Anolis sagrei: one gene and its partners. The protein of the gene in region 3 interacts with the protein of the main gene of each other region in a pairwise test. Links are inferred from orthologs where the notes say so. Each region holds a gene or a part of one and is shown on either strand. Other genes may lie near its edges.

Region 1 (9,375 bases), on a different chromosome or scaffold from region 3:
GTTATGATTGTCTTTTTGCTCTTGTTGTGAACCGCGTTGAGTCGCCTACGGGCTGAGAAACTGCGGTATACTAGCAACGTAAATAAATAAATAAGACTGCCCGGAAGCTACAACTAGTCCAATGAGCGGCAACCAGATTACTAACAGGAGTGGGGTACAGGGAGCATACTACTCCTCTGTTGCGTCAGCTCCACTGGCTGCCAATTAGCTTCTGAGCACAATTCAAAGTTCTGGTCTTGACCTATAAAGCCCTAAACGACTCCGGCCCAGTTTACCTGTCCGAACGGATTCTCCCCTACGAACCATCAAGGTTGTTAAGATCTTCTGGAGGGGCCCTGCTCTTGGTCTCACCACCCTCGCAATCGCGTTTGGTGGGGATGATGGACAGGGCTTTCTCGGTGGTGGCCCCTCGGCTCTGGAACTCCCTCCCGATGGAGATTAGAACTGCCCCTCCCCTCCTGACTTTCAGAAAGCTGGTAATATCATGCCTTTGGGTTACTGCATTTGCAGAATGATGATCGAGTCAATAACTGCTGACCACACTAAAGGCGGATAGTGATGAATTTGTGATTTTACTTTGACGACCTGGCTTTTTGTAATTGTATGATCTGTATTTTAATGTATTTTATGTAATGATGCATTACGATGCTATTATGTTTATCCTACTTGTGTTTGAATTTCCTGCTGTTAGCCGGCCTGAGTCCCTCTTCGGAGGTTGAGAAGACCGGGTTATCAAAGCTCTAAATAAATAAATAAATATAAATAAATGATAAATGTGTAAGAGCTGGTCATTTTCAAAGGCTTGTTGAAACCACCAGGTCTTCAAGCTCTTACAAAAGGACACAGCATATTATTGGAGAACACAGAAATGCTGGACCACTCTCACAACCACCATGTCAGACTACACAGAGAAGCCATTGACATCCACAAGAAGCAGGTGGACAATTTCAACAGAAAGGAGGAGACCATGAAAAGGAACAAAATCTGGCTACCAGTATTAAAAAAATCTAAAATTGCAACAGCACAACAACAGAGAGGAAAAAAACAAGGACATCTAATCACCTCTCAACAGAAGATTGCTCCAGGCACTGCCAGGCTTTCTTTCCTTCTTTCCTCCCTCCCTTCCTTTTTTAATTCCTCCTTTCCTTTCCTTTTTCTTTCTTTCCTTCCTTCCTTTTTCTTTCCTTCTTTTCTCTTCTTTCATTCCTTCCTTCCTTCCTTCTTTCCTCCCTCCCTTTTTAATTCCTTCCTTCCCTCTTTCTTTCTTTTCTTTCTTTCTCTCATTCCTTCCTTCCCTCTCTCTTTTCTTCCTTCCTTTCCTTCCTTCCTTCTTTCTCTCCTTCCCTTTCTTTCCTCTCATTCCTTCCTTCCCTCTCTCTTCCTTCCTTCCTTCTTTCCTCCCTCCCTTTTTTAATTCCTTCCTTTCCTTTCCTTCCTTCCTTCCCTTTCTTTCCTCTCATTCCTTCCTTCCCTCTCTCTTTTCTTCCTTCCTTCCTTCTTTCTCTCCTTCCTTCCTTCCCTCCCTTTCTTTCATTCTCTCATTCCTTCCTTTCCTCCCTCTTTTCTTTTCTTCCTTCCTTCCTTCTTTCCTCCCTCCCTTCCTTTTTTAATTCCTCCTTTCCTTTCCTTTTTCTTTCTTTCTTTCTCTCCTTCCTTCCTTCTTTCCTCCTTTCCTTTTTGAATCCTTTCCTTCCTTCCTTCCTCCTTTCCTTCCCTCTTTCTTTCTCTCATTCCTTCCTTCCCTCCCTCTTTTCTTCCTCCCTTCTTTAATTCCTTCCTTCCTTCCTTCCTCCTTTCCTTCCCTTCCCTTTCATTCCCTTTTTCCCCAGGCACTGTCAGGCCATCAAATGCTAATGAAGGTGGTCAGCTGAAACATTCACACCTAGCTCCAGCAGACAAGAGTCCTTTGTCCCACCCCGGTCATTCCACAGATATATAAACCCATTTTCCTACTTCCAACAGACCTCACTACCTCTGAGGATGCTTGCCATAGATGCAGGCGAAACGTCAGGAGAGAATGCCTCTAGACCATAGCCATATAGCCCGAAAGACCTACAACCACTTTCATTCAGGGACCATTTCATCCTAGATGTCCTGTTCTTTCTCTCTCCAGAATTGACATCCCAGGGTTCCTTTCTCTCTCCCAATTTGCACAACCCCACCCACTACCTCTCATTTAACCCTTTCCTGCCCATTCCATCCCCGTTCTTAACTAGGAGTCACTTGCCACCTGAGGGTGACCCTCAATGCCTTCCACCTACATCTGCAATAGCAACAAAGCACCACGAGAGGGCGACAAGAGCATTTTCACCACATTTTTCATATTTTTTCATAATTATTATGATTATAACCACGGCAATTTCAGCAGACTCTCGGTGAACCCAAAACAACAACGACAACGGCTCAATGCCATAACAATAGCAATGCCCCCACTTTTTCCCCCCACGGTTGAGATCCAAGGCAACTCACAACTTTAAAACCCAATCGCCTTGCAGCTGCAAAGTCAATCAGTGAGGGTATCTGCAGAGATGTAGGCTAGCTGTTGTTGCCCAGAGGAACTCTCTGTGGAATGATGTCCAGGGTGGGAGAAAGAACCCTTGTCTGTTTGAATCAAGTGTGAATTTTGTAATTAGTCAGTTGGAAAAGCATTGAGTAGCCTTGCAGCGAAAAAGTCAATCAGTGAGGGTATCTGCATAGAGGTGGGCTGGATGTTGTTGCCTGGAGGAACTCTCTGTGGAATGATGTCCAGGGTGGGAGAAAAAACCCTTATCTGTTTGAATCAAGTGTGAATTTTGTAATTAGTCAGTTTGAATAGCACTCAATCGCCTTGCAGCTGCAAAGTCAACCAGTGAGGGTATATGCATAGAGGTAGGCTGGCTGTTCTGGCCCGGAGGAACCCTCTGTTGAATGATGTCCAGGGTGGGAGAAAGAACCCTTGTCTGTTTGAATCAAGTGTGAATGTTGTAATTAGTCAGTTTGAATAGCATTGAATCGCCTTGCAGCTGCAAAGTCAATCAGTGAGGGTATCTGCATAAAGGTGGCCTGGATGTTGTTGCCCAGAGAAACCCTCTGCGGAATGATGTCCAGGGTGGAAGAAAGAACCCTTGTCTGTTTGAATCAAGTGTGAATGTTGTAATTACTCAGTTTGAAGAGCACTGAATCACCTTGCAGCTGCAAAGTCAATCAGTGAGGGTATCTGCATAGAGGGAAGCAAGGTGGGTTCCTCCTCCTTTTCCTCCCTTCTTTCTCTCTTTTCCTGGCTGAGCTTAAGAGAAGCAAAGAGAAGGGAAGAAGCAGAGGGAAGCAAGGCAGGATCCTCCTTCTCCTTCTCTTCTTTCCTGGTGAAGGGAAGCAAAGGGAAAAGAAGAAGCAGAGGGAAGCAAGTTGGGTTCCTCCTCCTTCTCTTCCTCCCTTCTTTCCCTCTTTTCTTGCTGATCTCTAGGGAAGCAAAGAAAAGGGAAGAAGGAAGCAAGGCAGGATCCTCCTCCTCTTCCTCCTCCTTCTCTCCCTGGTTGTGTTCAAGGGAAGCAAAGAGAAGGGAAGAAGCAGAGGGAAGCAAGGCAGGATCCTCCTCCTCCACTTCTTCTTCTTCCTCCTCCTCTTCTTCCTCCCTTCTTTCCCTCTTTTCTGGCTGAGCTCTAGGGAAGCAAAGGAAAGGGAAGAAAGAAGCAAGGCAGGATACTCCTCCTCCTTCTCTTCCTTCTCTCCCTGGTTGAGTTCAAGGGAAGCAAAGAGAAGGGAAGAAGCAGAGGGAAGCAAGGCAGGATCCTCCTCCTCCACTTCCTCTTCCTCCTCCTCCACCACCACCACTTCTTCCTCCTCTTCTTCTTCACTTCTTTCCTGGCTGAACTCAAGAGAGACAAAGAGAAGGGAAAAAGTAGAGACAGGCAAAGCAGGATCCTCCTCCACCACTTCCTCCTCCTCCTCCTCCTCCTCCACCCCCACTTCTTCTTCCTCCTCCTCTTCTTCATTTCTTCCCTGGCTGAACTCAAGAGGGACAAAGAGAAGGGAAACAGTAGAGACAGGCAAGACAGGATCCTTCTCTTCCTCCTCCTCTTCCTCCCTTCTCTCCCTCTCTTCTGGCTGAGTTCAAGAGAAGCAAAGAAAGGGAAGAAGGAGCAAGGCGGGAACCTCCTCCTCTTCTCCTCCTCTTCCTCCCTTCTCTCCCTCTTTTCCTGGCTGAGCTCAAGGGAAGCAAAGAGAAAAGAAGAAGCAGAGGGAAGCAAGGCAGGATCCTCCTCCTCCACTTCTTCCTCCTCCTCCTCTTCTTCACTTCTTTCCTGGCTGAGTTCAAGGGAAGGAAAGGGAAGGGAAGAAGCAGGGGGAAGCAAGACAGGATCCTCCTCCTCCACTTCTTCTTCACTTCTTTCCTGGCTGAGCACGAGAGGAACAAAGAGAAGGGAAACAGTAGAGGGAGGCAAGGCAGGATCCCCCTCTTCTTCCTCCTCCTTCTCTTCAAGGGAAGCAAAGAGAAGGGAAGAAGCAGAGGGAAGCAAGGCAGGATCCTCTTCCTCCTTCTCTTCTTTCCTGGCGAAGAGAAGCAAAGGGAAAAGAAGAAGCAGAGGGAAGCAAATTGGGTTCCTCCTCCTCTTTCTCCTCCTTCTTTTCCTCCCTTCTTTTCCTGTTTTCTGGCTGAGCTCTAGGGAAGCAAAGGAAAGGGAAGAAGGAAGCAAGGCAGGATCCTCCTCCTCCTTCTCTTCTTTCCTGGCGAAGGGAAGCAAAGGGAAAAGAAGAAGAAGAGGGAAGCAAGGCAGGATTCTCCTCCTCCACTTCCTCCTCCTCCTCCTCCTCCTCTTCACTTCTTTCCTGGCTGAGTTCAAGGGAAGCAAAGAGAAGAGAAGAAGCAGAGAGAAGCAACCTCCTCCTCCACTTCTTCCTCCTCCTCTTCTTCTTCACTTCTTTCCTGGCTGAACTCAAGAGGGACAAAGAGAAGGGAAACAGTAGAGGGAGGCAAGGCAGGATCCCCCTCTTCTTCCTCCTCCTTCTCTTCCTTCTCTCCCTGGCTGAGTTCAAGGGAAGCAAAGAGAAGGGAAGAAGCAGAGAGAAGCAAGGCAGGATCCTCCTCCTCCTCCACTTCCTCCTCCTCCTCCACTTCTTCTTCTTCCTCCTCCTCCTCTTCTTCACTTCCTTCCTGGCTGAGCTCAAGAGGGACAAAGAGAAGGGAAACAGTAGAGGGAGGCAAGGCAGGATCCCCCTCTTCTTCCTCCTCCTTCTCTTCCTTCTCTCCCTGGCTGAGTTCAAGGGAAGCAAAGAGAAGGGAAGAAGCAGAGAGAAGCAAGGCAGGATCCTCCTCCTCCTCCACTTCCTCCTCCTCCTCCACTTCTTCTTCTTCCTCCTCCTCCTCTTCTTCACTTCCTTCCTGGCTGAGCTCAAGAGGGACAAAGAGAAGGGAAACAGTAGAGGGAGGCAAGGCAGGACCCCCCTCTTCTTCCTCCTCCTCTTTCTCTTCTTCCTTCCTTTCCCTCCTTTCCTGGCGCCCTTTCAAGGGGCGTGAAGGGAAATCAAGAAGCAGAGGGGGGGGGTCTAGGCGGGCTCCTCCTCCTCCTCTTCCTCCTCCCCTCCTCTTCCTCTTTCTCCTCCTCCTCTTCCTCCTCTTCAGTTGCCTCTTCCTCCCTTCCCTTCCCTCCCTTCCTTCCTCCCCCCTGGACTCAGAAATGGACCCTCCCTTCTCCTTGACCTTCGAAGCCTTCTCTCTCTGCCTTGGAAGGACCCCAAAAGGTAGGGATTGAGAGGGGGGGGGCTTGGAAGGGGGCTTGCTTTCCACCCCCCTGGGAACTGTTTCCGCCCTTTCCAACCTCCCTTTGTCCCTCTCCTGGACCTCTCTTTGCATGCAAACCACGCGAGATCCAGAGTGGGGGGGGGGGGGGGGGGAAGGAACTTCCTCCACTTTCCCAGGAACTTGGCGGAGAGTTCCCCTTGTTCTTCTGTGGGATACAAAATATAAAAAAGGAGCAACATCTATCCATTAGAGAGATATATTGTTTCCCCCAAACAGATCTATTGAAACATTCTATCCAATGTGTTGTTGAAGTTTTTCATGGTTGTTGTGAATTTTCTCGGCTGTCTGGCCCTGTTCCAGAAGCACTCTCCCCTGACGTTTCACCCATATCTATGGCAGGCATTCTCAGAGGTTGTGAGGTCTGTTGGGAACTAGGAAAAGGGGGTTTCACAGATATATCATAGAATCAAAGAGTTGGAAGAGACCTCCTGGGTCATCCAGTCCAACCCCATTCTGCCAAGAAGCAGGAATATTGCATTCAAATCACCCCAGACAGATGGCCATCCAGCCTCTGTTTAAAAAGCCTCCAAAGAAGGAGCCTCCACCACACTCCGAGGCAGAGAGTTCCCTACAGGTGTTGGCTATTTGTTTGAATTCTTCTTTGGTGATTTCTCCCTTTTTCCACTTCTTGTGCATGTCTCTTTTGTGTTTTAGCACAGTTAGAAGTTAAGTTCTTGTGGGTTTCTTCGGGCTATATGGCCATGTTCTAGAGGCATTTCTCCTGACGTTTCGCCTGCATCTATGGCAAGCATCCTCAGAGGTGAGGTCTGTTGGAACTGGGGGAAAGGGTTTATATATCTGTGGAATAACCAGGGTGAGACAAAGGACTTTTGTCAGTTGGGCTAGGTGTGAATATTTCAACTGACCACCTTGATTAGCATACAATGGGCTGACTATGCCTGGAGCAAACTCTTCTCGAAAGGTAATTAGATGTCCCTGCCTGTTTCCTCTCTGCTGTTTTTGCTGTTGCAGTTAGAAGTTCTTTGGACATCCATTCTGGCTTCTTTGCACTTGTCCTATTTTTTCTCTTTGTTGGCACAGTTTGCAATTGCGCCTTGAGTATTTCCACTGCTGAACGGCTCTCACAGTCAGGAAGTTCTTCCTCATGTTCAGATGGAATCTCCTCTCTTGTAGTTTGAAGCCATTGTTTCGCGTCCTACTCTCCAGGGAAGCAGAAAACAAGCTTGCTCCCTCCTCCCTGTGGCTTCCTCTCACATATTTATACATGGCTATCATATCTCCTCTCAGCCTTCTCTTCTTCAGGCTAAACATGCCCTTAAGCCGCTCCTCATAGGGTGTGTTCTCCAGACCCTTGATCATTTTAGTCGCCCACTTTGTCCTAGTTTCCAACAGACCTCACAACCTCTGAGGATGCCTGCTATAGATGCGGGTGAAAGGTCAAGAGAGTAAATATTAATAATAATAATAATAATAATAATAATAAAGCTTTATTTAAGACTCTGTGCAGCACCAACCAAGGCCTGGAGGGAGGGGAGGTGGAGTCGCAGTGGTCTATAAGGATTTTATCCCCCTGATCAGGTGCCCCATCCCACAGTCATCTTCCTTTGAGTGTGCCGGCTTTAGGATAGGTGACCGGGACAGGATAGGGATTCTGTTAGTGTACCGACCACCCCGCTGCACAACAGTCTCCTTATCTGAGCTAGCAGGAGTGGTCTCGGATTTGGCTTTATAATAAAGCTTTATTTAAGTCTCTTCTGCTGTGTTCTCCAGTATTTTTATGAGTGATGGTCACTCGTTGGCCTGATCGGTGTCTTGTGTCCAAATTTGGTGTCAATTCGTCCAGTGGTTTTTGAGTTATGTTCGTCCCGCAAACTAGCACTACATTTTTATTTATATAGATTCTATTATTATTCTATTATTATTATTATTATTATTATTATTTTACCTGTCCGAACGCATCTCCTCCTATGAACCAACTAGGACATTAAGATCATCTGGGGAGGTCCTGCTCTCAGTCCCGCCTGCATCACAGGCACGCCTGGTGGGATAAGAGTGAGGGCCTTCTCAGTGGTGGCCCCTCGGCTGTGGAACGCCCTTCCTACAGATATAAGATCGGACCCCTCCTTATTGGCATTTCGGAGGAAAGTGAAGACCTGGTTGTTTGAACAAGCATTCAATTAAGCAGTGTAATTGAATATAGGAACGTGGAATAACGGACAATGAGATTGGATTCTGATTCTAGTGATGGGACGCGATTGATTTGTTATATTGATGTTTAATTGTTGTTATGCTATTGTTTTAATTTAATTGTTTTGTAATGTTTAGCATTGAATTTTGCTGCTGTTAACCACTTTGAGTCACCTAAGGGCTGAGAAAAGCGGTATATAAATAAATAAATGTATTATTATTATATATTTATTATTTATATTATTCTATGTTATTATTATTATATTTCTATGACCCCACCACCATCTTCCCACAGGGACTTGGGGCAGCTTACATGAGGCCAAGCCCAGCAACAATATAAAACAATATAACAGAACACATCAATACAATCTATATAAATAAAAATGTAATGTTCGTTTGTGGTATTCACAGAACTCAAAAACCACCGGAGGAATTGCCACCAAATTTGGACACAAGACACCTAACAACCCAATGTATGTCCTTCACTCAAAAAATTGATTTTGTCATTTGGGAGTTGTAGTTGCTGGGATTTATAGTTCACCTACAATCAAAGAGCATTCTGAACCCCACCAACGGTGGAAATGAACCAAACTTGGCACACAGAACCAAACTGTGGCAAGTTTGGTTCAATTCAATCGTTGGTGGAATTTGGAATGCTTTTTGATTGTATGTGAACTGTATAAATCCCAGCAACTTCAACTCCCAAATGACAAAATACCCAGTTCCACCAGTATTCAGATTTGGGCGTATTGGGTGTTTGTACCAAATGTAGTCCAGTGAATGAAAATACATCCAGCATATCAGATATTTACATTTTGATTCAAAACAGTAGCAAAATTGCAGTTCTGAAGTAGCAACGAAAATCATATTATGGTTGGGGATCACCATAACATGAGGAACTGGATTAAGGGTTCGCGGCATTAGGAAGGTTGAGAAACACTGGAGTAGCTCCAAGGTATTTTGGCATGCTGCAATACTCCAGTGAGATTCCTTCCCAGGTCATCCTCAGAGCTCGAGATGCTTGTATGTTCATAAGATGAAAGCACACGTCTGCATTTTAGATGGATTAGGAATTAGCTGGTTTTCACTGTAATAGGCAGTAAGGGCACCTTGAGCCTGCCACTTTTGGACTCTCGCTTGCTGAGGTGTTCCAGCGAGTGTCTCTGTAGATCTTAGAAAACTATTTCTTGATTTAAGTCATTGACGTGCTGGCTGATACCCAAACAGGGGATGAGCTAGAGATGTCTCTGCCTTGGTCCTTTCACTATTGGCTGCTACTTCCCGGCGGATGTCAGGTGGTGCAATACCGGCTAAGCAGTGTAATTTCTCCAGTGGTGTAGGGCGCAGACACCCCGTGATAATGCAGCATGTCTCATTAAGAGCCACATCTACTGTTTTAGCGTGGTGAGATGTGTTCCACACTGGGCATGCGTACTCAGCAGCAGAGT
Region 2 (9,813 bases), on a different chromosome or scaffold from region 3:
CACTAAAATGCTTTTTTATTTTTTTAAAAAGTCTTTTTTATAAGATGCCGATGAATTGGAAGAAATTGTTAAATATTTATTTTGCCTCTTAAGAGTCATAAATGTTACACACCTATTTAAAAATAAGCTCCATGCTTCTATATAAATTAGACCTATTTGGGAACAATCTACATGACAACAGTTTGTTTAGTCCACACAGATTGCTGAAATTCTTTGTTTTCTTTGTTAAGTACTATTAATAACAGTTTAATGTTGCTAAGGCAATTTCAGAGTTGCAGGCTCCTTTGCTTTTGTTGCTTAAATTAAAATGAGGACCGTATCACCACCTAGCTATTTTACCCAAATGGAAATATACAATAATTTTAAATACTGAAAATGAAGCTCTTATTTTTCCTGCAAACCATGAGGAAAACACTAATTAACAGTAATTACCAGTAACAAATCTATAATTCATTCTTCCCCAGCAAACTACAACCCTGAATTATAAGTTTGGTTCACATGACACATTCACAGTCATCTGCCAACTTCACTGTAGTTCAGATATCTTTCTTAATCTTACCCATTTTAGCTACCTACCTTATATTGTACAGTGTAAGAGGAAGTTGCAAAGAATCAAAATCCTTTTTTTAAAAAAATAAACATTTGGGGGGAAAGTCTCAATCAGCATTCCTGGCTAAAATGTTATCCAAGACTGTGTACTCGTTTGCCGGCAAGATTTCCTTAACTTTCTGTAATCCTCAACGAAATTCTCCAGGGTTATGGGAAGAGAGCTCCTATGCCACATCACATTTTCAGCTAAGTCTGATCAGAAATGAAATTATCTACAGGTCAAAATGTCAAAACCACTTTCTCTTCAAATAAGTAAACACAAAAAAAAGCCCTGCAAGTCTACAAATCCCAACAAGTTCAGTAATACAGAAAAACGGATCTTACTCATCCTATGTCTCTGCCTCAAAGGAAAACCTTCTGTTGTGCATGAACCACAAAGCTATTATATATAAAGGGTGCCATGGTGAAGCCATGGTGCATGCACCGGTCTGAGGGACTACAAAAGCTCTCTGAACACACCAGGAAGATTGAATATCAATTTGCTAGAACTGGTCTTTCAACAACACAAATGGAACACAGTGCATCGTCACTCATTTTGCCATTTTAAATGTTTTGTCCTTCCCTAATTCTTCGTCTCTTTATATTACCAGCATTTCTCACTGCATATATGACTGGGGGGAAACAAAGGCATCTCAGCAGATACAGATAAACTGCAATTTTAAGAATGGAAGATGAATTAAAATTATATTTAGCTACAACACAGGGATACATTGCAAGGTTTGAGATTGTGTATATGATCGGTATCATAGTCCAGATTAATCCCCAATATAAAACAGGCTACAGGAATTATTTTGCCTTCCCTATCTCCTATTTCAACAACCCAGAAACCCCATATTTACTAACCCAAGTTCTACAATTCTCTGAGCTTTGAAAGATGTATGGGCAAATATAATGCAAAGATAACAGAAATGCAGATGGGTATCAAGAAACAGATGCAGCTTCATGATAGCCACTTGAAGCATGATCATTCAGTTTTTAGCTACATCCTAGTTCTCCCTTAGTGAGCATGGAAGGCAAGTCATAATAATGTCAATATTTGAAGCATATCTTCCTCCAATCCAACACCATGCCATTCTCCTTGCAGTTTTTTTCACTTGTGCTCTATGGAATTGTACCAACATGCAACATGCTAAAGAAACTGCAAACCAAGTACTAACATCATCTTTAACTACATCATCTCTACTTGTGCTAAAGAAAACTGGGTGCGAAAGATGCTGTCTAAAATACAAAACATAAATACAAAGCTTTCCTTCAGATATCTACTCAAATACTAAAGTATTTTCAGCCCACAATATATTATTCTCATAGGAGACTGTTTTGCTGCTGAAACACAGTAAAAGCCACAACTCATCTAGCCACAAAGTCAGGTCTAAGGATCATTCCACACAATATATTATTCTCATAGGAGACTGTTTTTCTGCTGAAACACAGTAAAAGCCTCAACCCATCTAGCCATAAAGTCAGGTCTAAGGGCCCTTCCACACAGCTGAATAAAATCCCATAATATCTGCTTTGAACTTGAATATATGGCAATGTGGACTCGAGATAACCCAGTTCGAAGCAGATATTGTGGGATTTTCTGCCTTGATATTCTGGGTTATATGGCTGTGTGGAAGGGCCCACGGCCATATAAACCAGAATATCAAGGCAGATAACCCACAATATCTGCTTTGAACTGGGTTATCTGAGGCCCCTTCCACACAGCTGTGTAAAATCCACATTGAACTGGATTATATGGCAGTGTGGACTCAGATAATCCAGTTCAAAGCAGATATTGGCCCCTTCCACACAGCTGAATAAAATCCCACATTTTCTACTTTGAACTGGAATATATGGCAGTGTGGACTCAGATTACTCAGTCCAAAGCAAACATTGTGGGATTTTCTGCCTTGATATTCTGGGTTATATGGCTGTGCGGAAGGGCCCTGAGTCCACATTGCCATAAAATCCAGTTCAATGTGATTTTATACAGCTGTGTGGAAGGGGCCTCAGATAGCCAAACAAGAGTAGGAGACTTTAACCTAAAGTGTGGTTTGACATCACCTCCCAATCAGACCAGTATTTAATTACAAAAAAGGCAGTGTTTGGTACTTTGGGAATCTGAATTATTTATTCAACTGGTATTCCAATCGGGACCACAACAGGAGAGAGGAAAAGCCCACTCTTCATGCCAATCGTCTCTTGACAAATAAGATACAGGTTGAACACGTCTTAAACCAAACCCCAAAATTTGAATACCGGTAATCCAAAATTGTCCACATCCGTGAGTGAGATAATGACACCTTCAGTTCGTTGATTGAGTCTCCACAATCTTTATTTTGTGCATAACATTATGTAAAATATGATCCATATGTTTACCTTTGGGGCTGTGTGTACAAGGTGCATAAGAAACATAAATGTGACGGGTCCCATCCTAAAGATACCTCATGAAGTGGGATATGCAAATACAGGTATATATGGATCCGAGCTCCAGATCTTCACACAGTCAAATGTACTATCCTATCTGCACACACATCCAAATGCAGACAGTGAGAAAAAGCCTCTGGGAGCAACCAGAATGAGAAGGATTGCCCTGTGTCACCCCATGAGCCCCAATGCACAAGTATTCGCCCACTTTAACCCTTGCATCAGGCTGCCCCAAAGCAGCTGCGACTTGAGACATATACTGAATTGTAAAGAAAGGGGAGGGGGGAGGTCTGTTCTGGGGCCCTTCCACACAGCCATATAACTCAGAATATCAAGGCAGAAAATCCCACCATATCTGCTTTGAACTGGGTTATCTGAGTCCACACTGCCATATATTCCAGTTCAGAGCAGAAAACGTGGGGTTTTTTATTCAGCTGTGTGGAAGGGGCCTTGGACATTAAAGCGTGCGCATCCCCCAGACAGACACCCCAGCCAGGCCTCAAGAGTGCGCTAAATGGTTCTGAGGGAAGGGAAGGAGGCACAGATGTATCTCATGAGGAGGATGGAGAGATGAGACGCACGCGCGCACACACACACACCTTCGTTTCCCTTCACGCTGGCTATTTGGGGAGGGGGGGTTAATGGGGAAAGGGTTTTAACGGGCGGAGGGCCCGCCCCCGCCCCACAGCAAGAGGCAGCGGCCCGTACCTGGATGTAGTTGCTCTCGCAGTACTCGGCGACCCGCTCGAGGTTGGTATAGCTATCGAAGAGGGCCCGGCGCCCTCCCGGGATCTCCTCCTCCAGCAGCATCTGCAGCTCCGCCATCTTCACATCCTCGCGCGCGCGCGCCCGCTCGGCCCCGCCCCTTTTTTCCTCCCTCGCGCTCGGCTCTTCACCCGCCCCCCTTCCGAGCGCGCGCTTGCCCTCCCTCCCTCTCTTCCTTCCTTGGCGACCAACTGCTGCCGCCTCCTTTGCCTCGCGCTCCTTCCTCGCGCTCTCCTCCTCCCTCCCAAGCGTTGCTGTGACGTCCTCCTCCTCCCCTCCTCTCTCTTTCTCTCTCCCTGAGAGGGACAGTCCGCGGCGCGAGGGACCAACAGCGTCGGCTGCGCATGCGCTGAAGACCTCCGCGCGAGCTCCTGCTTGGCTCTGCTACACTGAGGCCAGGAGGGACCCAAGAAGAGGAAGTCGTCTTCCACGCCTTTCTCCCTCACTCTCTCTCCTTGCTTCTCAGGATGCTCTCCGTGTCACACACAGGCGGGAGTGGGCATGGCATCCCCCGCACAGCTGAGGCAGAAAGAACCTTCTGCCTTGGTCGCTTAAGCATAGGCTGAGACATTCGTGCTTCACTTCACAAGGCCTCTGGCCACGAAGAGGCATTAGCCCACTCCAGTCTACAGAAGCAGAGCTCCTTTTCCCCTCCTCGTCCTCAGGCCAGCAGGACATCTTAGACAGCATCACCATTGGAAGGAGGGCGGGAGAAAAGACTTTGCATCATCATATTTAATTACTTAATAATCACCCAAGATGCTCTAGGCCAGGGGTCCTCAGACTTTTTAAACAGAGAGCCAGGTCACAGTCCCTCAAACTGTTGGAGGGCTGGATTATAATCTGAAAACAAAAAAGGAATGAATCCTATGCACACTGCACATATCTTATTTGTAGTGCAAAAAAACACTTAAAAACAATACAATAATTAAAATGAACAATTTTAACAAATATAAACTAATTATTTTACCTCCTCCAAGATGAACTGAACCACCTCAACTGGGCTCTCCAGGCCAATGGATATTCCACCTCAGACATCAGAAGAGCTGCAAGACCAAGAACAAGCCACAAGAGTCAAGATGAAGATCCACCCAGAGGAAAAGTGTTCCTGCCATACATCAAGGGAACCACTGACCGCATAGGGAAGCTGATGAGGAAACACAACATACAAACAATCTACAAACCCACCAAGAAAATCCAACAAATGCTACGTTCAGCAAGGACAAGAGGGATCCTCTCACCTCTGCAGGAGTCTACCGTATACCATGCAGCTGTGGACAAGTCTACATAGGGACCACCAAACGCAGCATTGCCCAAACAAGAATCCAGGAACATGAAAGGCACTGCAGACTACTTCAACCAGAGAAGTCAGCCATAGCAGAGCACCTGATGAACCAACCTGGACACAGCATATTATTTGAGAACACAGAAATGCTGGACCACTCCAACAACCACCATGTCAGACTACACAGAGAAGCCATTGAAATCCACAAGCATGTGGACAATTTCAACAGAAAGGAGGAGACCATGAAAATGAACAAAATCTGGCTACCAGCATTAAAAAAACTCTAAAATTACTACAGCAAAACAGCAGAGAGGAAACAACCAGGCACATCTTAACACCTCTCAACAGAACATTTTCCCAGGCTCAGCCAAGCCTTCAAATGCTAATGAAGGTGGTCAGCTGAAACATTCACACCTAGCTTCAGCAGAGAGCTCTTTGTCCCACCCTGGTCATTCCACAGATATATAAACCCATTTTCCTATTTCCAACAGACCTCACTACCTCTGAGGATGCTTGCCATAGATGCAGGCAAAACATCAGGAGAAATGCCTCTAGAACATGGCCCTATAGCCCGAAAAAACCTACAAGAACCTAACAATAGAATTGGTCCAAACTTGGCACACAGTTCTCCAGAAACTAGGACATGAACCTATGGATTCAAATTACAAGAGAGAAATATTCCACCTAAACCTTTCTGGTAAGGAGTGTGATCCCAACTGGTGGAAGGAAATGAAGGACAAAGGTCACTATAGTAGTCAAGATATCTGAAATGATGTCCCAGTAAAGACAGAGGAAGTTTTTCTTAGGCTCTCCAGAGACTAGGACATGAACCTATGGATTCAAATTACAAGAGAGATAAATATTCCACCTAAATGTTAGGAAAACCTTTCTGGTAAGGAGTGTGATACCAACTGGTGGAAGGAAATGAAGGACAAAGGTCATTATAGTAATCAAGGTTCATCTATATAAATAAAAATGTAATGTTCGTTTGTAGGATTAACAGAACTCAAAAGCCACTGGACGAATTGACACCAAATTTGGACACAATACAATGTAGGCCCTTCACTCAAAAAATTGATTTTGTCATTTGGGAGTTGTAGTTGCTGGGATTTATAGTTCACCTATAATAAAAAAGCATTCTGAACCCCACCAATGATGGAATTGGTCCAAACTTGGCACACAGTTCTCCCATGACCAACAGAAAATACTGTAAGGGTTTGGTGGATAGTGTCCTTTGGTTTTAGAGGTGTAGTTCGCCTACATCCAGAGAGCACTGTGGACTCAAACAATGATGGATCTGGACCAAACTCTACACGAATACTCAATATGCCCAAATGTGAACACTGGTGGAGTTTGGGGAAAATAGAATTTTGACATTTGGGAGTTGTAGTTGCTGGGATTTGTAGTTCATCTACAATCACAGAGCAATCTGAACCCACCAATGACAGAATTGGGCCAAACCTCCCACACAACCCCCATGACCACCAGAGTGGGCCACAGCAACGCGTAGCAGGGGACGGTTAGTAATAATAATAATAATAATAATAATAATAATAATAAACTTTATTGATACCCCGCCACCATCTCCCTGTTGGGGACTCGGAGCGGCTTACATGGGGCCAAGCCGAACAAGAATTACAATATAATAATACAAATTGCAATAAAATAAACAACATAACATTAAAATAAAACATCAAAGCATATAAAACAATATACACAGAACATACAAACTAAACATAATAACAAAATGATATGTACATAAAATGATTTTAAAAACCCCGGGTGAGATAAGGGGGCAGAACTAATTGTAAGGGACAACTCAGAGAGAGATAGGAAAATAAGCAAACCTTCATACATGGGGGGGACTCCTGGGACAAGAATGTTGGGGAGTACTAGTTCTGTGTGGGAGGTTTGGCCCAATTCTATCGTTGGTGGGGTTCAGAATGCTCTGTGATTGTAGGTGAACTATAAATCCCAGCAACTACAACTCCCAAATGTCAAGAGTCTATTTTCCCCAAACTCTACCAGTGTTCACATTTGGGCATATTGAGTATTCGTGTAGAATTTGGTCCAGATCCATCATTGTTTGAGTCCACAGTGATCTCTGGATGTAGGTGAACTACAACTCCAACACCAAAGGACACTGCCCACCAAACCGTTCCTTTTTTCTGTTGGTCATGGGAGAACTGTGTGCCAAGTTTGGTTCAATTCCATCACACACACACATATATATATATGTACACACAAACTCCACCTGCCTGACCACCAACAGACCTCTGAAGATGCCAGTCACAGATGCAGGCAAAACATCAGGAGAGAATGCTACTGTAACATGGCCATACTAATTGTTTCCGTCATAAGAACATGGAAAAAAATATTAAACTGCAAAAACATTTTCCTTCCTCTATTTTTTTTTTTTTTTTTTTGCAGGACATAGTTAGTTAACTTGTGGCCTGCAGCCACATCACAAAAAAATCAGTGAAACAAATGAATCATGTGTTTTAACATTTTCACAATTAGCGCTTCATTATTTATAACACGAAAATAATAGCCTGTTTTAATATTATAAATTCTTTATTTGTTAATATTTATAACGTAATTGCGTTTTCATTGCTGTTCTTGTTCTTGAATTATGTTGCCAACTGCTTTGGTTGCAGTGCTAGGAAAAAGGCAAGATATAAATCAAATAAATGAAAACCCACTATTATAAACACTACAGGGGAATGGGGGAGCATAAGTTCTATGTCACCTCCTCTAAAAATGGCTCAGTAGATTAAGCTGAAATCTGGTGGTTTAGAAAGGTTGTTTTTTGCTTTGAGGAATGCTTGCGCCAAGTTGAAATGGGTTTGAATGGCATTTTCATAAGGGGGTTTAAACATTGAGTGAGTGATGCCTCCAGAGATTTAACAAGCCTTTTCCTTGTAGATTTTGTTATGTAGCTAATTTGACTGTTGGAATTTGACTCTAGAGACCAGTTTGACTCCCCATTCAGCCATGGAAACTCACTGGGGAACCTTGGGCAAGTCACACTCTCTTGGCACCAGAAAACTCTATCGTAGAGTTACCTTAAGATTGCCATTACCTAGAAAGACATGAAGGCACACAACAATATTTTTCATATGATTTGTATTTCTTAATTTCAGAAATGTACTAGGTCAGAGGAAGATCTGGTGGATTTGAACCAAGGAGTCTTAATCCAGCTTTCAAATCACTACACCACACTGATTCTCTGATACCTGAAGGTGATGGTAATTGTCACCATGTCACATTCATCATCATAAGGAGACCCCTACCTCCATGTTTCTTGACATCAACTCTCCTGCTCATGTCTTCTAATCTCACGGCCATGGCTTCTTTGAATGAGGCTGAATATGCACTGTAGATTTAATGCAGTTTGGCACCACTTTAACTACCATGACTCAGTGTTATGGAACCTTAAGAGTTGTAGGTTCAGAAGATCTTTAGCCTCCTCTTCCAAAGAATATGAGCCTCCTTCTATACTGCCATATAATCCGGATTATCAAAACAGATAATCCACATTATTTTCTTTGAACTGGATTTTATGAGTCTACACTGCCCGGTCAAGGCATATAATCTGGATTTTATATGGTAGTGTAGAAAGGGCCTGAGTGTCTCACCAAAATGCAACACAAATTACGAGCCATAGCAGTTAGAGTGATGCCAAATTAATTCTACAGTGTAGATAAATGTAGGAACGGTCAACCCCCAGCTCCACTGGCTGCCGATAAGTTTCCAGTCCCAATTCAAGGTGCAGGTTGTTACCTAAGAAGCTCTAAACGGTCCAGGACCTGCCTATCTACCCCTCTGTTTAAGGCGCTCCACTGGCTGCCATTTATTTTCCGAGCCCAATTCAAGGTGCAGGTGCTCACCTACAAAGCCCTGAACGGTTTGGGACCACCCTACCTGTGTGACCGCATCTCCATCTACGAATCCACACGCTCACTCCGATCATCTGGGGAGGCCCTGCTCGTGATCCCGCCCTCGTCGCAAGCGCGCTTGGTGGGGACACGGGACAGGGCCTTCTCTGTGGCGGTCCCCCGACTTTGGAATGCCCTTCCAAAAGATCTCTGACAGGCCCCTACCTTAGCAGTTTTCAGAAGGAACCTAAAAACCTGGCTGTTCCGATGTGCCTTCTCAGATTAGGAATCCCCATCCCAAGTCCTAGAAGCACTTTAGCACAACCGATGTTACTGCACACAGCACTTTTACTCCTACGTTCCTCCTACCATTTCAGCATTTTAACCCTGTACCCCATTGCACCGGCCGAACCAGTTTTAATAGTGTCTTGATGTAGTTATTGTTGTTATTTTGCTTAATTGTTTTGATTTGCTTGTTTATTATTGTGTTATGTTTTATTGTATTGTGTTTGAGGCTTCGGCCTGTGTAAGCCGCATCGAGTCCTGCAGGAGATGCTAGCGGGGTACAAATAAAGTTAATAAATAAATAAATAAATAAATATCTGTGCAACCGCCTCCTCCCCTATGAGCCCACGCGATCCTTAAGATCGTCCGGGGATGCCCTTCTCTCGCTCCCGCCCCCGTCTCAGGCGCGATTGGTGGAGACAAGGGAAAGGGCATTCTCGGTTGTGGCCCCTCGTCTCTGGAACTCCCTCCCCAAGGAGATCAGGCTGGCACCCTACCTAGCCACATGCCGTAAGGAATTAAAAACATGGATGTTTCGTTGTGCATTTGACTGATGACCCCATGACATACAACCAGTATTGCAAC
Region 3 (10,336 bases):
GACAAACAATCCTAAAAACTATACAATAGACAATTCAAAACCTAAAACATATACAGCCAAAAATAGAGTTATACAAAGCAGTATTAAATATAGTGAAAACCATTAAAAACCTACCAAAATACACAAAACACTTCACAACATGCCCTGGCTTAGTCTTAAAATCTTATTTAAAAGTCACAGTTTATATCACTACTTCTTAAACTGGGGGTCCTGACCTCAAATGAGACCCTTTTAATTCAATGTTGGGGTCACAAAAATTGGCAACAGTAAAGGTTTTGCCACCTAGTGGCTCTTTGAAACATTTACACAAATCTGTTAGTAACAACATGCAGTGTTAAATGTTTGATTTCTATAGCAGATTAGGATTGCCTAACCATGCCTATAGGTTAATGCAGTGTTTCTCAAACTGTGCTCCTCCAGGTGTTTTGGACTTCAACTCCCAGAAATCCCAGCCAGTTTACTAGCTGTTAGGAATTGTGGGAGCTAAAGTGCAAAACATCTGGAGGAGCACCATTTGAGAAATATTGGGTTGATGGAAAAGTTTGCTGGCCTTACAAAAGAAGAAAAGGGGTTCTAGATGTAGGCTTGCTGATATCTCTGCTTCATTTTTCAGATTTGTGTAATGTGCTTGAGTTTATAAAAAGTCCTATGTTTATATATTACGTTTTCCATTAAAGTTTAATGTAAAGGCTGAGATGATAATATGTGAAATGGCTCTGTCTCTGCCTTTTACTATATATTGCTCAGTATTTAAAACAGGAGCAGCCAACTGGTATCTATCTAGTGTTGAAATTCCCAGCAGCCTTGGTTAGTATAGCTAAAATGAAGACTGGTGAAATTTCATGTCAACATCTGGTGTGTTGTTTCCTGATAAAGTGTTAATTTGTAGGTCTGTGTATGGCTTCTGGCAGTTTGAAAATATGAGGATCAGCATCTGTGATGTTTCCAAAGGAAATGCCATTTTGGTAGTATCGTAGACTTTTCTAGATTTACACATTAAGCTCACTTACTAGACCTGAATGTTTTCCTGTGGGAATTCACCTTAACTTTTTACTTTCAGATGAAATCCATGATGGCATGAACCTAGAACTATACTATCAGTAATTTGGTTGTGGAAGATTTCATATCTGTCATGGTCTCTTTTCTTTTTTCTTCATTTCTAATTTCATTGAAAGTGTCAATGGCTTGTTTAGTTGCATGAATTGTGGCTAGTAATATTTTTATCCCTTATGGCAATAAACTAGAAGATATCTTCTCAAACTGTGTGTTTTTTAAAAATACAAATGTTTATAATAAATGTGATATAACAACATGTGTTAGATGTGGTCTTTGAGGCATTTTTAACCATGTTATTTGTGGAAGTTATAGTGAGAATAGGAGCCCCCGGTGGCGCAGTGGGTTAAACCTTTGTGCCGGTAGGGCTGAAGACCGACAGGTTGCAGGTTCGAATCTGGAGAGAGGCAGATGAGCTCCCTCTATCAGCTCCAGCTCCTCATGCAGGGACATGAGAGAAGCCTCCCACAAGGATGGTAAAAAACATCAAATAATCTGGGCGTCCCCTGGGCAACGTCCTTGCAGACGGCCAATTCTCTCACACCAGAAGCAACTTGCAGTCTCTCAAGTCGCTCCTGACACGACCAAAAAAATAAATAAAAATAGTGAGAATAATGTAGCACAGCTTTATCATTCTATCCAAAGAGCGTACCATCCCACAATCCCCTCTTGTTAGCTTAATTATTTACAAATTGATATAGTCACAACTACTTACCACATGTACAACATTTGAATACAACTGGGAGGGCCTGATTTTTTGGTTTACAAAAGTTGCCTTCATTATAAGGTTGGGAAATCTTTGATTTTCAGATGTTTTGGCCTACATTCCCTTTTACCACACTGGCATGGTTAGGAGTTGGAGAACAAAATCTCTAAGGGATAAAGGCTTCTCACTACTGCCTTGTTACTGGTTTAGTGAAAGTTCTTAATCACTGCCAATGTAAATTCACAATAGTGCTTGTTATCTGGAATAACAATAGAAATTACTGCTACACACAGTATTTGTTCTGTTAAATGAATTGGGAATAATCCTTCTGTGCCATTGCCAACCAGAGCAGACAATAATTCATCTAGCCTGTAAGCATCATTCTGTCATAAATTACTGGCTCTATAGCCAAAGTTCTAAATAAAGAGCAGATTTTAACAGCCATTAGCCATGATAGCAAAACAGTGCATGAATTCAATCTGCATTCCATAATTGCTGGTTTAACTTTGGTGGATTTGATTATTTGTAGATTCATTTAATGTGTTCCCTAGGAATTAATAGGTCCTTCAGCATGATCCTATGGTCAACCTCTTGTGGAGGTTGTCCTGGATAACCAAAAGGTGTTGTCTCAGGTAAAATAAAAATTTTCCCCACATTTATGGGACTCTTCTGTACCTAACCGTGAAAATGGAGGGCATACTCGTATATCTCTGGGAGGGGGAAGTGCACAGATTGCCTAAAGAAGGGATAGAAATAATGTAGTTTCCTAGGTACATACTTTTGGACTTCCAGCACTCCTAACCATTGGCTATTCTAGGCTGTTGGGAACTGCAATTCAGTAACATTTAGAAAGTAACACAGTTCCCTTCCCTGGGCTAGAGTTCAGAAGGATGGGGTGTCTTGAAATGGACAAAATTCCTTCTTTTCCTCATTTCTTTAAGCGTTTAGAGATGGATAAACTGCTGCTCAGAATACCTGGCTAAAAACCACACCATGATTTTCGGGGCTTTTGAACTGACTCAGAATTGCACTGTCCTAGTTTCTCTCTAGGCAGGTAGGAACATGAAATGTACGTATTTAAACCTGGGACGGGAGACTGAGTTTTCCAGGTTGTATGGCCATGTTCCAGAAGCATCCTCTCCTGACGTTTCACCCACATCTATGGCAGGCATCTTCAGAATTTTGAGGCCTGTTGGGAACTAGACAAGTGGGGTTTATATATCTGTGGAATATATATAAACCACAGATATATAGAAAAAAAACTCTTGTCTATTTGAGGCAAGTGTGAATGCTGCAATTGGCCACCTTGATTAGCATCAAAAGCCTTGCAGCTTCAAGGCTTGGCCGCTTCCTGCCTGGGGGAATATTTTGTTGGGAGGTGATTAGCTGGCCCTGATTATTTATTGTCTGAATTCCCGTTTTTAAAAATATATAATTTCTTAAATTTTTAAAACCACCTACACACACATAATTGATTAAAAAGCAAACCAGCACCATCACCCTATATTATCTGCAGACAGGGGACATCTTTTTACGATGCCACTGTGTGCAATGGGATTTGAGCCAAACCAAGGGGCCTACTGCATTTCTAAATTGGCTCCACCCAAGAAGGCACTGGGATTGGTTTGCAGTAATGTTTCAAATGCGCAATTCCGAGCCAGAACTAATACGACTGGTGCCAATATTTTGATCAGCAGGGAGTTTGTCCAGAGGAGGGCGACTAAAATAATCAAGGGTCTGGAAAACAAGCCCTATGAGGAGCGGCTTGTTTAGCCTGAAGAAGAGAAGGCTGAGAGGAGATATGATAGCCATGTATAAATATGTGAGAGGAAGCCACAGGGAGGAGGGAGCAAGCTTGTTTTCTGCTTCCCTGGAGACTAGGACGCGGAACAATGGCTTCAAACTACAAGAAAGGAGATTCCGTCTGAACATGAGGAAGAACTTCCTGACTGAGAGCCGTTCAGTAGTGGAACTCTCTGCCCTGGAGTGTGGTGGAGGCTCCTTCTTTGGAGGTTTTTAAACAGAGGCTGGATGGCCATCTGTCAGGGGTGCTTTGGATGCAGTATTCCCGCTTCTTGGCAGGGGGCTGGACTAGATGGCCCATGAGGTCTCTTCCAACTCTTATGATTCTAATCAGAAGACCCATAGTCCTGCCCAGGAACCTTTATTGTGTTGCCTTTGTCTAGATGAGTCCATAAATGTAGGCAAGGCTAGGAACGCCTGAAGACATCCCAGCACAGTATCATCTCCGTAGGCTATTAACTCAAAAGGAGCACAGGACTTGTGATTAAACAAAAGACATTCATGAGGGGGAGGGAAGGTCCAAGGAGCATCTGAACATAATACATTTTCTATAATATAATATGAAGGCAAAAGGAACACATAAAGACAAAACACAGAGGTTTGGAGGACCTGGTGTGCACAGGAGGCATAGTTTCCTCAAGTACACACATTAGCCAGGCTCTTTAGAGTGGGGAGTCTGAGGGAGATTAAGGAGGGGGGCAAGGAACACTCTTGGGGGAAAATGAAAAGATTGGAGTCCAGAGATCCCAGGAAAAAGGAGGAAAAGCACTCCCCCCCCCTCCATAAAGAAGATAAAGACTCCTATTCTCCCATACAAGTCAAAAGTGGCAAAATAGCCCACTGGCTGGGCTCCCGCCTTTGAAACAAAAGTTTCTCGTTCTAATCCCGGTCAGGGAGGGTTACCGAGACATACGTTTTGCTGGGAAAAGCTTCCCCTTGTGTATCCTTTTGTGTGTGTGTGTGTGTAAATGACAGAAGAGGAAGACCCGAGCGAGCCATGCTGCTCCCCTGGAGAGCCATGCCACACCATGAGGGCGGAGGCTGTTTTCCCTCATACAACAGTCTCTAGCTCTAGCCAATAGGAGCGCGACGTCTTCACCCAGTTGGCCAATCGTGGGAGAGGCCGCCGGAGCCATTGTGCGCGTGCGGCGTCGTTGCCAGGAGAAGTGGGCGTGGCCTCCTCTGCGCTTGGTGCTGTGAGAGGAGGGAAGATGGCGGAGGAGGAGAAGCTCCCCGCGGGCTGGGAGAAGCGCATGAGCCGCAGCTCCGGTACCGCCGTGGACTGGGAAGCGGGCGTGGGCGGGCACCGAGCTGTGGGGGCGTCCCGGGAGGGTGTCTGTGCGTGAAGGTCCGGCCTCGGGAAGAAGGAAGGCCGGAAGGGAGTCGCTTTCATTGTGACTTAGATTGAGGGGCCTGCGCGGCGGCGGCCTCTTCCCCCCCCCCCCCCGAAGGAGTGGCGAAAGGCAAGAGGGACTCCCTTTCTGGGCCCGAATCAGTGGGTCCCCAGGTGTTTTGGCCTTCAACTCCCAGACATCCCAGCCAGTTTTACCAGATGTTAGGATTTGTGGGAGTTGAAGGCCAAAACATCTGGGGACCCACAGGTTGAGAGTCACTGGCAGGGATTAGAAAGAAGGGTTTTTCCCCCCTCTCTGCAGGAATGTAGATGGAAGCTATGACGGGGAAAGGAGGGTTACTATCTGTGGCTCCTCCTCAGAGATAAGCCAAACCCCATAGCAAACAGCGGTGTTTCTGGGGGCTCCTTCTCTATTACTGTGGGCCTTTCCACACAACCACATTTTGGTAACTCAGAACATCAATGCAGATAATCCACAATATCTGCTTTAAACTAGATTACCTGAGTCCACACTGACATATAATCCAGTTCAATGTTGATTTTATACAGCCTGTGTTGCAAAATGAGGGCCATGCCTAAAAGTGAGTCACCAACATGAAATGTTTGGAAAGCTGTGGTAGGATTATAAACAAACAACTGATTATAAACAAACAACTGAAAACGTGTTGTCAAAGGCTTTGGAAATCACTGGGTTGCTGTGAGTTTTCCAGCCTGTATGGCCATTTTCCAGAAGCATCCTGACGTTTCACCCACATCTATGGCAGGCATTCTCAGTTTTGAGGTCTGTTGGGAACTAGGTAAATGGGGTTTATATATCTGCGGAATACATATGCACCACAGATATATAGGGAAAAAAAACTTGTCTATTTGAGGCATATGTGATTGCTGCAATTAGCCACCTTGATTAGCATCGAAAAGCCTTGCAGCTTCAAGGCTTGGCCTCTTCCTGCCTGGAGGAATACTTTGTTGGGAGGTGATTAGCTGGCCCTGATTGTTTATTGTCGAATTCCTTTTTGAAAAATATATAATTTCTTAGATTTTTAAAACCACCTCCACACACACACATAAGTGCTTAAAAAGCAAACCAGCAGCAGCACCCTATATTATCTGCAGACAGGGGACATTTTACGACGCTACTGTGTGCAATGGGACTTGAGCCAAACCAAGGGGCCTACTGCATTTCCGAATTGCCTCCGCCCAAGAAGGCACTGGGATTGGTTTGCAGTAACGTTTCAAATGCGCATTTCCGAGCCAGAACTAATACGACTGGTGCCAATATTTCGATCAGCAGAGAGTTTGTCTTATTCCCGGTTCTGGAGGCCATTGGTGTACATCTGCAGTGCGGTGGTACGCTTCGACGTGGTGACTTGAGTAACCACGACGCCTATCCTTCCAATCCATACGCGACGGGGCTCTGTATAGCTTTCCAAAAGCTAAATGTGAGCGCTTTGCTTCGCGTCTGGCCTTTTTTGTCCCTTCGCAGCCTCCGTCGTCTCACCTTTGGCGTGCCAAGGCAGCCAAGTACCCTCTCTCGCGCGGTCTCTAGCTCTAGCCAATAGGAGCGCGACGTCTTCACCCAGTTGGCCAATCGTGAGAGAGGCCGCCGGAGCCATTGTGCGCGTGCGGGGTCGTTGCCAGGAGAAGTGGGCGTGGCCGCCTCTGCGCTTGGTGCTGTGAGAGGAGGGAAGATGGCGGAGGAGGAGAAGCTCCCCGCGGGCTGGGAGAAGCGCATGAGCCGCAGCTCCGGTACCGCCGTGGACTGGGAAGCGGGCGGGAGCGTGGGTGGGTGGGCACCGAGCTGTGGGGGCGTCCTGGGAGGGTGTCTGTGCGTGAAAGTCCGGCCTCGGGAAGAAGGAATGTCGGAAGGGAGCAGCCTTCCTAGTGACTTAGATTGAGGGGCCTGCGTGGCGGCCTTCCCCCCGAGAGAGTGTCGAAGGGGAAAAATCAGTTAATTAAATCAACAGGGATTACAAAGAAGGGTTTCCCCCCCTCTGCAAGAATGTAGGGGAAAGCTATGACGGGGAAAGGAGGGTTACTATCTGTGGCTCCTCAGAGATAAGCCAAACCCCATAGCAAAGAGTGGTGTTTCTGGGGGCTCTTTCTCTCCATTCTCATTTTGTATTTTCTTATACAGGCTGAGTCCCCCTTATTGGCAATTCTGAAATATACCAAATCCCAAAAATGTCCACGTTGGTGGCTGAGATAGTGATGCCTTTGCTGATGGTTCAATGAACACAAAACTTCGTTGCATTATTGCATACACAACATTATTAAAAAGTAGATTGTATAAAAATGAGCTCCAGACTATGTGTAGAAGGGGTATATGGAACATCTATGAATTTCGAGTTTAGACTTGGGTTCCATCTCCATGACATCTCATGTATGTGCAAGTATTCCATTCTGAAATCCAAAACACTTTTGGTCCCTTTCATTTTGGGTAAGGCAACTTACATCTCTCAGCCTTTATTCTCTTCGTTCCTCCCTGAATTGTGAAAGGCCAGGGCAATGTACAACCCTCTGCACTCTCAGCCATTCCTAGCACCTCTTTCTTTACTTACAGCTGTCCTTGCTGTCTTTGTGGACACTGTTTTTATATAATAAAAGTGAACTGATAATTAAGTGTTCTCATTTTATTTTTTTTATTGGTGTTTGCCTTGAATGAAGAGAAGAACTTCATGTCACTTGCTCATAAGGAGCCCCCTGCCCCCAAAGATCCAGGCCTTTCACAAAGGACATTTTTAGAGGTTGCTCTTATTATAACAGCAGATGTATGTAGATTTTAACTTTGCACTTTATCTAAATCCCTTTAAATTGTTTATGAATGAAGCTTTTTGGGTTGATCTATGAGCTAAAATTCTTATCAGAGCCTATTGGACCACATTTAGTTTTCTTTATCCAGGGGATTTGCAGCTGTTTTGGAATACATATTATTGCCCAGACTGATTATAGCTGCTGGTATTTGGCCTCATCACACTAGAGAAAAATCCACTTAAAATCTGGTTTCTGCCTCCAGAATTCTGGGGTATGCAGTTTAGGGAGAAGCCTCACTAAACTACAAACCCCAGAATTCTGCAGGAGGCAGAAACCAGATTTTAAGTGGATTTTTTCTCTAGTGTGATGAAGTGTTTGGATTCCAATACATTTAAAGACTCCTACATGCTAATGGCAAGCCTTTTTCTTTTGAACAGTAATTACATGGGCAGCCCATTCAGCTCATCAGTAGGATTTGATGGCAACATCCCAACCAAGAAATTAGTTCTTGATAGCATGCTGTCTTTAAACACTCACGCTGTACTTGGCCATTATGACTAATAGCATCTTACAAATCTCTCATCTGTCAGTTAGGTTAAGTTTCCTTTAAAGCAGTTGGGCAGGGACCATCACCATGTGTTGTGAAAGTAAATTTCCTAAGCCAGAAGTGGTAAAGCTCACACCTGGGACCAGACAGAAATTTCTGTCCTCACCTCCCTCAGATGGTCATGTCTCCTGTATTACATCATGCCCTCTTTTGCATTCTATATGCTAAAGTGTCTTTTATAATTCTTTGATAAAATATGCTGATATTTTGATCCCATCCTTTGTATCCACTAATCACTAGAAACACTTTTTGTATTTGAATTTGGACTCCAGGCTGGAAGACGTTTCTAATATCTGCTTGTAATGTGTTTTTTTGTAGTATAATCTATAGCATGTAAAAATCACTTGCCACACTCTGATGTTATGACAAACAGAAAATGCATCTTGACACTCTTCTTCTGAATCATAGAATCATAAGAGTTGGAAGGGACCACAGGGGCCATCCGGTCCAACTCCTTGCCATTCAGAAAAAGCACAGTCACTTTACTTCTATCCTTCCTTTTTCCAAGACCAAGATTTATGCTTACACATTAAAACATTTATAATTAAATACATAAAAAGTTATCATTAAAACCAAGTGAAACTATTAATCATGTTAAAAACATACACTCTAAAATGATTTTAATAGTTAATGCAATTCAAAGCAATACAGACAGTAAAGTCCTTTTTTTTTTTTTTGAAACCTTCAGTTCTAAAAGCCTATTGGAATAGAAAAAGCTTTGCCTGCTGATGAAAGCACAACAGCAAGGAGATGGCCATCCTGACCTCCTTAAGCAGGGACTTCCAAACTCTAGGGTTGCCCTTTCTCATATTACCTCTAATTATAACCTTTTAAGTGTGTAAATTTTTTGCAGCAACTCACATAGCTCCCCGCATCTTCCACTGTTCCTTACAGTTGACTATGTAGACTGATTGGAACTGTAGGCCTAAACTTGGGAAAGGCCATGGCTTCACCATTCTTGTGTTACATAATGTATTTGCTGTGATTTGTGTGTATATAACAGAGAAGGCAGGGGGTGTGGAGTGTTATTGCCATGACATGTGGTTACACATACATTAGAACTTACTTGCTATTTTCTTGTCTATTCACCAATGTGGAGAGATCCTTTCGGAGGTCTCCACACTGATTGAGTTTATAGTATCCTATAAGTATTTTGCCTCCATGCCTGTTTACCTCAAACTCTAGGCCAGTGGTTCTCAACCTGGGGTTCCCAGATATTTTTGGCCTTCAACTCCCAGAAATCTTAACAGCTGCTAAACTGGCTGGGATTTCTGGGAGTTGTAGGCCAAAAACATATGGGGACCCCAGATTGAGAACCACTGCTCTAGGCCATGGGTTCCCAAACTGTAGGCCGGATGCAGCCCTCCAAGATCATTTACCTGGCCCCCTCTCTAAACTTCAGATGTGGGGTCACCCTAAATCTAAAATGACTTGAAGGTGCACAACAACAATCATAATTAATTTGACTATCTCATCAACCAAAAACACTGGTAAGTTTATGTTGGTTAACATTGTTCTTCATTTAAAAGATTGTATTCTTTAATGTTTTTAGCACTACAAATAAGATATGTGCAATGTGCATTAGAATTCCTCCATGTTTTTTCCCCAAACTGTAGTCTGGCCCACCAGTAGTCTGGAGGCCCTCTGCTTCAAAAAATTGAGGACCCCTGCTTTTGACCCTTTATTTTGTTCAACTAATTTTTAATCAGTAAAAGGTTTTGTCATGCCTGCTCTGAGGGAACAAGGTAGGGTATGTAGTCCTGTCATTTTACTATCTTCTCAATATTTTAAAGTACATTAATATGAGAGTCATGAAGAGGTGTACAGAGCCCCCCCCCCCCCGGCTTAGTTAAATTTGGACATATTTACTTTTGAGTTGTTAATTTGCCATTTAAAACTAGAATGTCATCACTTATTGAGTTTTTACAGCTGTTTGATTTAATCTACTCCCGAGGGGAAAGTGTTTTAGGCATACATAACTGCAGCATGTTCTGCAGTAGAAAAACTAGAAAGAAAAAAAAATCTCTATCCTCCCTATAACCTAGTAGTACTTTCACTCATG

The links.
Region 1: the proteins of PIN1 (region 3) and AMOT interact in binary tests that used the Homo sapiens proteins (3 or more experiments, as listed by UniProt). The two-hybrid records come from large-scale screens. The link is inferred for Anolis sagrei from reciprocal best matches to the Homo sapiens genes PIN1 and AMOT.
Region 2: the proteins of PIN1 (region 3) and ABI2 interact in binary tests that used the Homo sapiens proteins (3 or more experiments, as listed by UniProt). The link is inferred for Anolis sagrei from reciprocal best matches to the Homo sapiens genes PIN1 and ABI2.

What each region holds. Positions count from the first base shown.
Region 1 is NC_090030.1:33,525,311-33,534,685, reverse strand, and holds the start of AMOT (angiomotin), read left to right. Parts: upstream 1-5,483; 5' UTR 5,484-5,718; intron 5,719-9,375.
Region 2 is NC_090021.1:165,825,424-165,835,236, reverse strand, and holds the start of ABI2 (abl interactor 2), read right to left. Parts: upstream 3,893-9,813; 5' UTR 3,841-3,892; coding exon 3,724-3,840; intron 1-3,723. UniProt on the Homo sapiens protein: Regulator of actin cytoskeleton dynamics underlying cell motility and adhesion. Functions as a component of the WAVE complex, which activates actin nucleating machinery Arp2/3 to drive lamellipodia formation.
Region 3 is NC_090022.1:147,604,683-147,615,018, forward strand, and holds the start of PIN1 (peptidyl-prolyl cis-trans isomerase NIMA-interacting 1), read left to right. Parts: upstream 1-6,546; 5' UTR 6,547-6,604; coding exon 6,605-6,662; intron 6,663-10,336. Other genes in the region: UBL5 (ubiquitin-like protein 5), read left to right, coding at 1,061-1,104. UniProt on the Homo sapiens protein: Peptidyl-prolyl cis/trans isomerase (PPIase) that binds to and isomerizes specific phosphorylated Ser/Thr-Pro (pSer/Thr-Pro) motifs.